Linked DNA regions of Oryzias latipes. Each later gene encodes a partner of the first gene's protein in a complex. Links are inferred from orthologs where the notes say so. Each region holds a gene or a part of one and is shown on either strand. Other genes may lie near its edges. The genes, in order: cnot10 and cnot8.

Region 1 (4,575 bases):
ATTTATACTCCGAAAGATACCATAACTCTGCTTTTCAACATCTTTGTTCTTGTAAATCATTAGGATTTAAGGTTTAACATTTACCTAAGGGACAGAAAAAGGTTAAACAAATCTAAGTAGAACAAAGCCTCCTCCTGTAAATGAGGCGTCTCTTCATCACACTGCCGGCGCCGCTTACCTCTCCTTTCCCGTTCCTGCTGCCGCCCTGAGCAGACAGCTTATCCAGCACGGCGAGCAGGTGCAGCGCCTTCTCTGGCTGGAAGGTCAGCAGGTACAAGTCCACCAGGAGGAAGCAGACGGCCTGAGCAAACTTCTCTTCTGGGACAAATGAAAAAGTCTTTACACACACAGCCGAGAGCAGACCTGATGTAAGGCACGCCATGCATGGAGCAATCCCCCCCAGTCCAGTCTGCACCAGCAGGCTTCCTGTTGGGTCAGACTGTGCGGGACGCGTCCCTGAGGATCAGGACGGTGACTGTGGGAACTTGATCCATCACAGGAGCTTTCAGACAGAACGTTGCAGAAAAAAGCTGAACCCACAGGCGCTGAGAACAGATCCTGCTGCACAACATGCCGTCTGAAGATGGACAGCCTGAAGATGTGGCTCAAACCAAGACTTTTAACTTCATCATTGAAGCTGGTTTGAAAAGAAAAGTATCAGCTGATTGGTCAGATCACAAAGAAAGCTGGGATGTTTACATCAGAAAAGGCAGCACCAGCATAAATCCAGGTTTGACCTCTCATTACATTTACAGACACTACAATGGAGACGATGCTTCCATTTGAGGGTATTTGGGATCAAAAAGGAGGCGTGATCTGGTGACTGACAGGTGACTTTGGGTGTGCCCCCCCCAACATCTGACATTTCCCATTATTGGAAAAGCTAGAAGTTTGTAGAATCTGGTTGAAGAGCAACTACCAGGGAGCTGAAAACTCGTCAACTGAGCTCAGCACAGACCTTAGGGTCACATGACCAAAGATGGTGTGTCCATGCACTAAACCTCATTGGACATTCATGAAGACTTCTCCACATCTGTGTTTAATGTATTTACTATTTAAATCATAATGGAATCCAGGTTTGAGCAGTCCAGGCCCTGTGGGGTTTGAAGAGGAACCGGTTCTACGTGGCCTTCATGTGAAAAATGCCGTGGAATGTTCCTTTAGTCCCCTGGAGAATTGGAAGCTGTGAATCGGAAGCCAACTTCAGCGTCGTCAAACACTCCAGGTCCATAATCAATGAGGCTGCAGGGACTCTCCATTTCTGAAACAGACCTCTCTGGGACACAACAGGACCCCAGTGTTCTCACAATGTGACCTCAGTGACCCCCATGTGAACGTCCAGACGCAGAGCAGAGCATGCACCTGTGCCACAGACAGCGGCAGGCGGGGAGTCTGCCCTGCTGACTACTCACCAAACGGCTCCAAGAACTGGTAGAGCTTCTCTCCAATGGAAATGGCCTCAGAGAACTGCTTCAAGTGGTAACAGATGACCGCTTGATTGTAGTACAGCAGGCTGTTCTCCACGTCGTCCAGGCCATCGGCGTCTTCCGTCAGCGATGAGTGGAGCTGGCGGACACAGTCGGCCAATCAAACGTCTCATAACGTATTAGAGTGCAGGTGTCGGTGAGCTGCTGTTACCCGGTTCTTCATGGCCATCAGCGTCTGCCTCAAAGTGCCCGTGGTGGTCTGACTGCTCCTGTAGAACTCTGTGACGGCCTTGTTCATGGCGATCTTGTAGTCCTCTTTGTTGAACTCCAGCAGGGCTTCCAGGTGCTTCATGGACTCTTCGTACCGTCCAGCCTGTGAGACACAGAGGCTTCACGTCGTGTGGCATTACCCAGCTCCAGCCTCCACCACATGCACCAAAACCTGTTCTGCTGACGATCCGAAGAGAGACGGACTTACCAAGAAGCACTCGTACGCACTCGAGGCCAGCTCCTTCTCCTGGTCGCTCATGCCCGTCACACCCGAGCCGTCATGCTTCTCCTCGTTGCGTTCGGCTGAAATTGCAACAGAGGAGACATCAAACCCTCTGAGTTCCACCTGAGGACGGAATGCGTGGCTCAACCAGAACCCAAAGGGCGCCATGTCTCTGCAGTCCTTCCCTCTCACTCTGGAGGCTTCAGACCCCACATGGTAACTTCCTAAGACCATTTCTGAAAATCCCTCTCATTTAAGGCAGATATTGTAGCCTTAAGTTTAGCAAAAGAATGTCACGTGTATGACGACGTAATGACCTTCTCTCAGTTTATTGTGGGACGCGTCTGTTCATGGCCAAGCTGGGGTTCCTTCATACGTGGTGTTGTGTCTGAGTTATGGTCTGTCCTGTCATAGTTCCATGATGAGCAGCAGGACCTGCTTGGATCACCTCAAGAACTTTGATCTAACCACAGTCTGCTCAGTATTATCTGCACCCCAACTTCGGGACGGTTACCTGGGAGTCCTGGATCTGCCACGGGGCTGTCGGGCTACCTCTAATGTCTTTTGGGGGGGTTTCAGCTACACTGACGGATCATCATCATGCAGAAGCAGCCGCTAACTGAGCAGCAGCTAGTTAGTAGCATCATCAGCCGGAACACCCACCGGAGTTTTCGGCCATTTCCCGGGTCTTCATCCACAATCCAGCCGCGGAGCTGTAGGAGAACACAAGAACAACGCCGGGAAGAGGAAATCCTGAATATCCAACTGGAAAGAGTTTTACACGAACCGGACCAGCTCTGTTTGTGGTCGGCTTCAGTGACTGACTGCTGTAGCCGCTTCTCTTGGTTCTTCTTCGGTCACTGGCGCCATCGACACCAGCGCACGGTTTGTCAACAGCGCCCCCTTTGGAAGTAACTGTCCATGGTAAGAATGAGAGCACGCGCCGTCTTTTTTTATTTTGAATAAACTTTATTTGTAGTTAAGTATAAACAAACTTTATTAACAAAATCTAACATCCGTCCTATCGAGTCAGGCTGCTGATCAGGTAGAAGACAGTTCTGTGGCTTCATTAAATGAGCTCAATAGTGGAACTTCTCCACTTCCAATATCTGTCTGTCAGTAAAAGGCAGAGAATGAAACAGTCAGAAACTCTTTAGGATGTATCTGCTCAGCTGATCAGTCTGCTCCTGTTATTTGCAAGATTCTTTTCTGACTTCCTTGCTCTTTTCCTTTTGGGTCAACAGCTGCCTCGTCAATGAGGATCGGCACACATCCAGCTTCTTCTCCAAGTCCTGCAGGGGTATACGCATGGATTAGTTCAGTGACACCTGATGATGCTGCTCCTCCTCCTCCTCAACTGTATCTTCCAGTCCTTCTCCTCAGTGGCTATGGTCAGTCTGATGGTGCGCCTCTTTCTTCAGCAGGCTGGGCGGATCTCTGAGCAGCTGCTGGAGATTGTGTCTTGTAGCATCAAGGTGTCAACACAGGTGTCATTGAGCTACTTACCCAAAGCCTCTGTCTCCTTCTTGTGCCTTATCACATCTAGTTTGGTTTTTTCTTGTTAACTACAATAACCTCAGTGAGAAATGAAATACCAGATGCAAGTTAAAGGTAAACTGTTCCTTGTTCTCCAATGGACAGGAGAGGGAAAGGTGAGGCGAGGTAGAAGAAGAAACAGAGGAACTAAAACAGATTAATGGAAACTTCAAATAATAAGGAGACAACGTGAAGAAAAAGAGGCAGAGATGGAGTTAAGAAAGAACATAGAGGAAACAGCTAATCAAGGAGACGAGGATGGGAGCCATCCCCAAAACATAACACACCCAACCACCCCCACCCATGTCCTGCAAATTCCCTTCAACAGGGTTCAAATATAACAATGCCGCTGGGCTGCAAGGTGGAACAATGGTTAGTGCTGAGAAGGCCCCAGTTTAAATCCCGACTGGGACCTTTGTCTGTGGAGTTGCCTGTTCTCCTCATGCATGTGTGGGTTTTCTCCAGGCACTCCAGCTCCCTCCCACAGTCTAAAAACATGCTTCATTGGTTAATTGGCTACTCTAATAGTGTCCCTATAGGTGTGCATGTGTGTGTGATTGTGTGCCCTACGACAGACAACACTGTGACACAGAAATGGATGGATGGATGGATATGACAAATTCAAATGAAACCACAAGTGTGTCCCACACTGAACCGGTTTAATCTGAAATCAGGTGCAAACGCAATCATGTGGATGCAGAACAAAATAAAATAACAGCATCGATGAATTACAACAAATCATCTTTAAGCTGAGATAAAACAAAAGCTTTTTTTCCCTGGTAATTGCAATGTCAACACAGAAAACTTGTGTGTAATTTGCAGCTGATTCTAGACAGGTGATTGTGAGTAAAAGGTTGAAAACGAACAGCACCTGTTGAGCACAAGCTGTGCTCAGCGAACCTATTGGCAGAATTTTCCTTGAAGGAGAAAAAACGAATCCATGAAGTGGCAGAAGGAGAGGCTGCTGGAGGTGGTGAAGCAGTTCCCTTCAATTAGAGTTCATCTGGACAGGAGAGTAAGTAACCATCTCAAAAATAATAATAAATAAATAAAACATCAGAAGAAACTGGTTATTTTAAATGTGATGCATCTGTTCTTCATTTTTTTAACTACATGAAA
Region 2 (3,167 bases), on another chromosome or scaffold:
CCCCCGCCCAAACCCCAGGTACGAGCCAGGACCCCCCAAGGGAGACCCGACCCGCACTCCAGGCAGCCATCCGCCCGGCCCACGGTTGGTCCAGGAAGGAGCAAGGCAGGGGCCAGCCGTCCCCGCCCAGGAGGAGGACACCCCAGGGAAGAGGGGGTCCACAATAAGTGTTGTAAACATGGCCCGACCGGCGAGGCCCAGCACTCTTTCCTCTGATCTCTTGATCACACAGGAGATCCAAAGTTCTGCTGCCCGTCACGTCCACTAAGTTTCTGTCAAAGTTCTTTCTTTCCCTGCTGCCTTTTCTCTTAGTCTGCTGCAGAACACGCCTTCGTCCACCTTCCAGCAGGAGGAGCAGAGATGATGCTGAAGACCCCTGTTCTGCCCCACCTGTAAGAACCGAGGACCAGGTTTAGCCCAGTTTCCCCAAGCATGCTCGTCCTCTCTTTCCTAAAACATGACTCGGCTCTAGATCCCGGTTCTGACGAGTCATTTCTGAGCATCGCTTTGACTTGACCACAGAGGTGTTTGAAGAACAGAATAAAAGGATTGTCCAGAAATGACCAAACGCTCCACGATTACACTGAAAATACAAAACAATTTAATATACAACTGTTGACAACGATGCAGAATGTAAAAACAGTGAGCGGAAGAGTGTGGTCTGCTGGAGAACCACCACCTTCTGAGTGGACATGAGCTAAAACATGTTCATTTACATGAGTGTAACCTACAAGGAGATCCTGCTGGGGGGCAGAATCATCCTGAAGCTGGTCCCATGCTGCAAATGAGGCGTTTTAAAAAGTGTTTGGAAATGAAGTAAAAAGTGACTAAAAGAAAGAGCGAGCCCGGGGAGGGGGCCACTGCTGACTGCCATGAGGGGCGGGGCCACTGCAGCCTGCAGAGGCGGTGAGGGCTCACATTGGGGTATTTAGTGAGAAGATGGGAGCAGAAACCCGCTGGTTGGCTTTTAAAACACTCTGGGGGGGGGGCTCAGTGCTTGTTGTTGGCCTCATCGCCCGTGGAGCCGGCGAGGCCGTTCTGCGGCTGACTGGAGCCGGAGCCGAGGCCGTACAGCCTCCCGCAGTATTTGGCGTCGTCGATGTTGTCCTCGAAGAAAAGCTGCGACAGACAAACAAACGAGTCTGTTGGGATTATTTCTGCACCACCTTCACACTGAACCAAACATCCACAAACCTGCAGACAATTAAGAAATGACATTTTTGATGTGTTCATAATAATCCAGCTGATGCTAAAGTTTCACATTTTCAGATGAAATAAAATGAAATAAATGAAACAAAGCAGCCTTTTTATTGAACTGCGGCGACTTTATTAGGCACACCTGTCCAACCAGCCAATCACATGGCAGCAGCTCTGTGCATTAATTAGACATGGTCCAGACGATCAAACCGAGCATCAGAACGAGGAAGAAAGGTGATTGAAGGGACTCTGAACGTGCTTGTTGGTTCCAGACGGGCTGGTCTGAGGATTTCAGAAACTGCTGATCTACTGGGATTTTCACCCACAACCATCTCTAGGGTTTACAAAGAACGGTCCTTAAAGAGAAAACATCCAGAGAGCAGCAGTTCTGTGGATGGAAATGCCTCGTTGGTGCCAGAGGTCAGATTGGTTCCAGCTGATAGAAGACAACAGGAACTCAAAGAACCACTGGTTCCAACAGAGGTCTGCAGAAGAGCATCAATGAAAGAACAACCCGTCCAACCTGGAGGCAGATGGACTACAGCAGCAGAAGACCACACCGGGTACCACTGCTGTCAGCTAAGAACAGGAAACTGAGGCTACAATTCACACAGACTCACCAAAACTGGACCATAGAAGATGGAAAAACGTTGTCTGGTCTGATGAGTCTCCATTTCTGCTGCCACATTCAGATGGTAGAGTCAGAATCTGGCCTCAACAAAATGAAAGCATGGATCCATCCTGCCCTGTATCAACGGTTCAGGCTGGTGGTGGTGGTGTCATGGTGTGGGGATGTTTTCTTTGTACCAACTGAGCATGGTTCCAGCACCACAGTCTACCAGAGTATTGATGCTGACCATGTCCATCCCTTCATGACCACAGTGGACCATCTTCTGATGCTACTTCCAGCAGGATAAGGCTCCATGTCATGAAGCTGGAATCATCTCAGACTGGTTTCTAGAACATGACAATGAGTTCTCTGGACTCAAACTGCCTCCACAGTCACCAGAACCCAATAGAGAACCTTTGGGATGCGGTGGAACTGGAGATCGGCATCATGGATGTACAGCTGACAAATCTGCAGCAACTGATGCTGTCATGTCAACATGGACCAAAGTCTCTGAGGAATGTTTCCAGAACCTTGCTGATTCTAAACCACAGAGGATTAAGGCGGTTCTGAAGGCTAAAGAGGGTACAAGCAAAGTGGAGCTGCTAAAGTGGGTGAGTGTATGTCCACACATAAAACACTAAAGATCTACAATTCTACGCATTTATAAATGCATTTCTCGAAAGACATTTTATAAACCATCTAAGCAGATTCACAAAAACTTCCAGCTGCAACAGAACAGCTGTCAGCCGGAAAACGATGAAGACTGTACCTCCTTCATCCTGAAGAAAGCCATGCCCGTGAGCAGCGAATCCGACCCCGCCTGATGCTGCCGGCCAATCCTCTTCAGCTCCAGCTGATCGGCCACTTCCTGCAACCCCCCCTGCAGGAACAAGCGGAGACGGAGTGAGACGGCTCCACGTTCCTCGGGGATGTAGAAAGCAATAAACCCTGTGACCCGCAGGCCTTACCTTCAGACTTTTGCAGCTCTTCATCAAATACTTCACATCGTAAATTGCAGGAAAAAACAAGTTTAAGATCTGAAAGAACTCGTGTTCCTCCTCTGGAAGCCGCGCATCCGTCAGGAGTTTCACCAGATAGCCAAAGTCATAACCACTGAGACAAAACAAAAATTATTAATGATTAAAAACTCAGAGAATCAACTCCTCTAGACATTGAACAGTTTCAGAGGTTCTGCAAAAGTTTACTATCAATGTGAATAGAAGCAGCATCCCAGAAACCTTTTCTAGATCGTGTCTGTCTCAGAGGAAGACAGGGAAAATGGTGACGGTCGCTCTAAAAAGCTCTGCAAAGACTTAAAGTTCCATAATCTTGAACGTCATCTACATTATATCGTCTAAGA

Evidence for each region.
Region 2: cnot10 (region 1) and cnot8 share a complex: the UniProt entries of both Homo sapiens proteins name them as parts of the CCR4-NOT complex. The link is inferred for Oryzias latipes from reciprocal best matches to the Homo sapiens genes CNOT10 and CNOT8.

Annotation. Positions count from the first base shown.
Region 1 is NC_019874.2:7,745,294-7,749,868, reverse strand, and holds the start of cnot10 (CCR4-NOT transcription complex subunit 10), read right to left. Parts: upstream 2,811-4,575; 5' UTR 2,615-2,810; coding exon 2,584-2,614; intron 2,001-2,583; coding exon 1,906-2,000; intron 1,801-1,905; coding exon 1,639-1,800; intron 1,567-1,638; coding exon 1,413-1,566; intron 319-1,412; coding exon 179-318; intron 1-178. UniProt on the Homo sapiens protein: Component of the CCR4-NOT complex which is one of the major cellular mRNA deadenylases and is linked to various cellular processes including bulk mRNA degradation, miRNA-mediated repression, translational repression during translational initiation and general transcription regulation.
Region 2 is NC_019872.2:29,383,585-29,386,751, reverse strand, and holds the end of cnot8 (CCR4-NOT transcription complex subunit 8), read right to left. Parts: intron 2,921-3,167; coding exon 2,776-2,920; intron 2,688-2,775; coding exon 2,577-2,687; intron 1,120-2,576; coding exon 991-1,119; 3' UTR 579-990; downstream 1-578. UniProt on the Homo sapiens protein: Has 3'-5' poly(A) exoribonuclease activity for synthetic poly(A) RNA substrate. Its function seems to be partially redundant with that of CNOT7.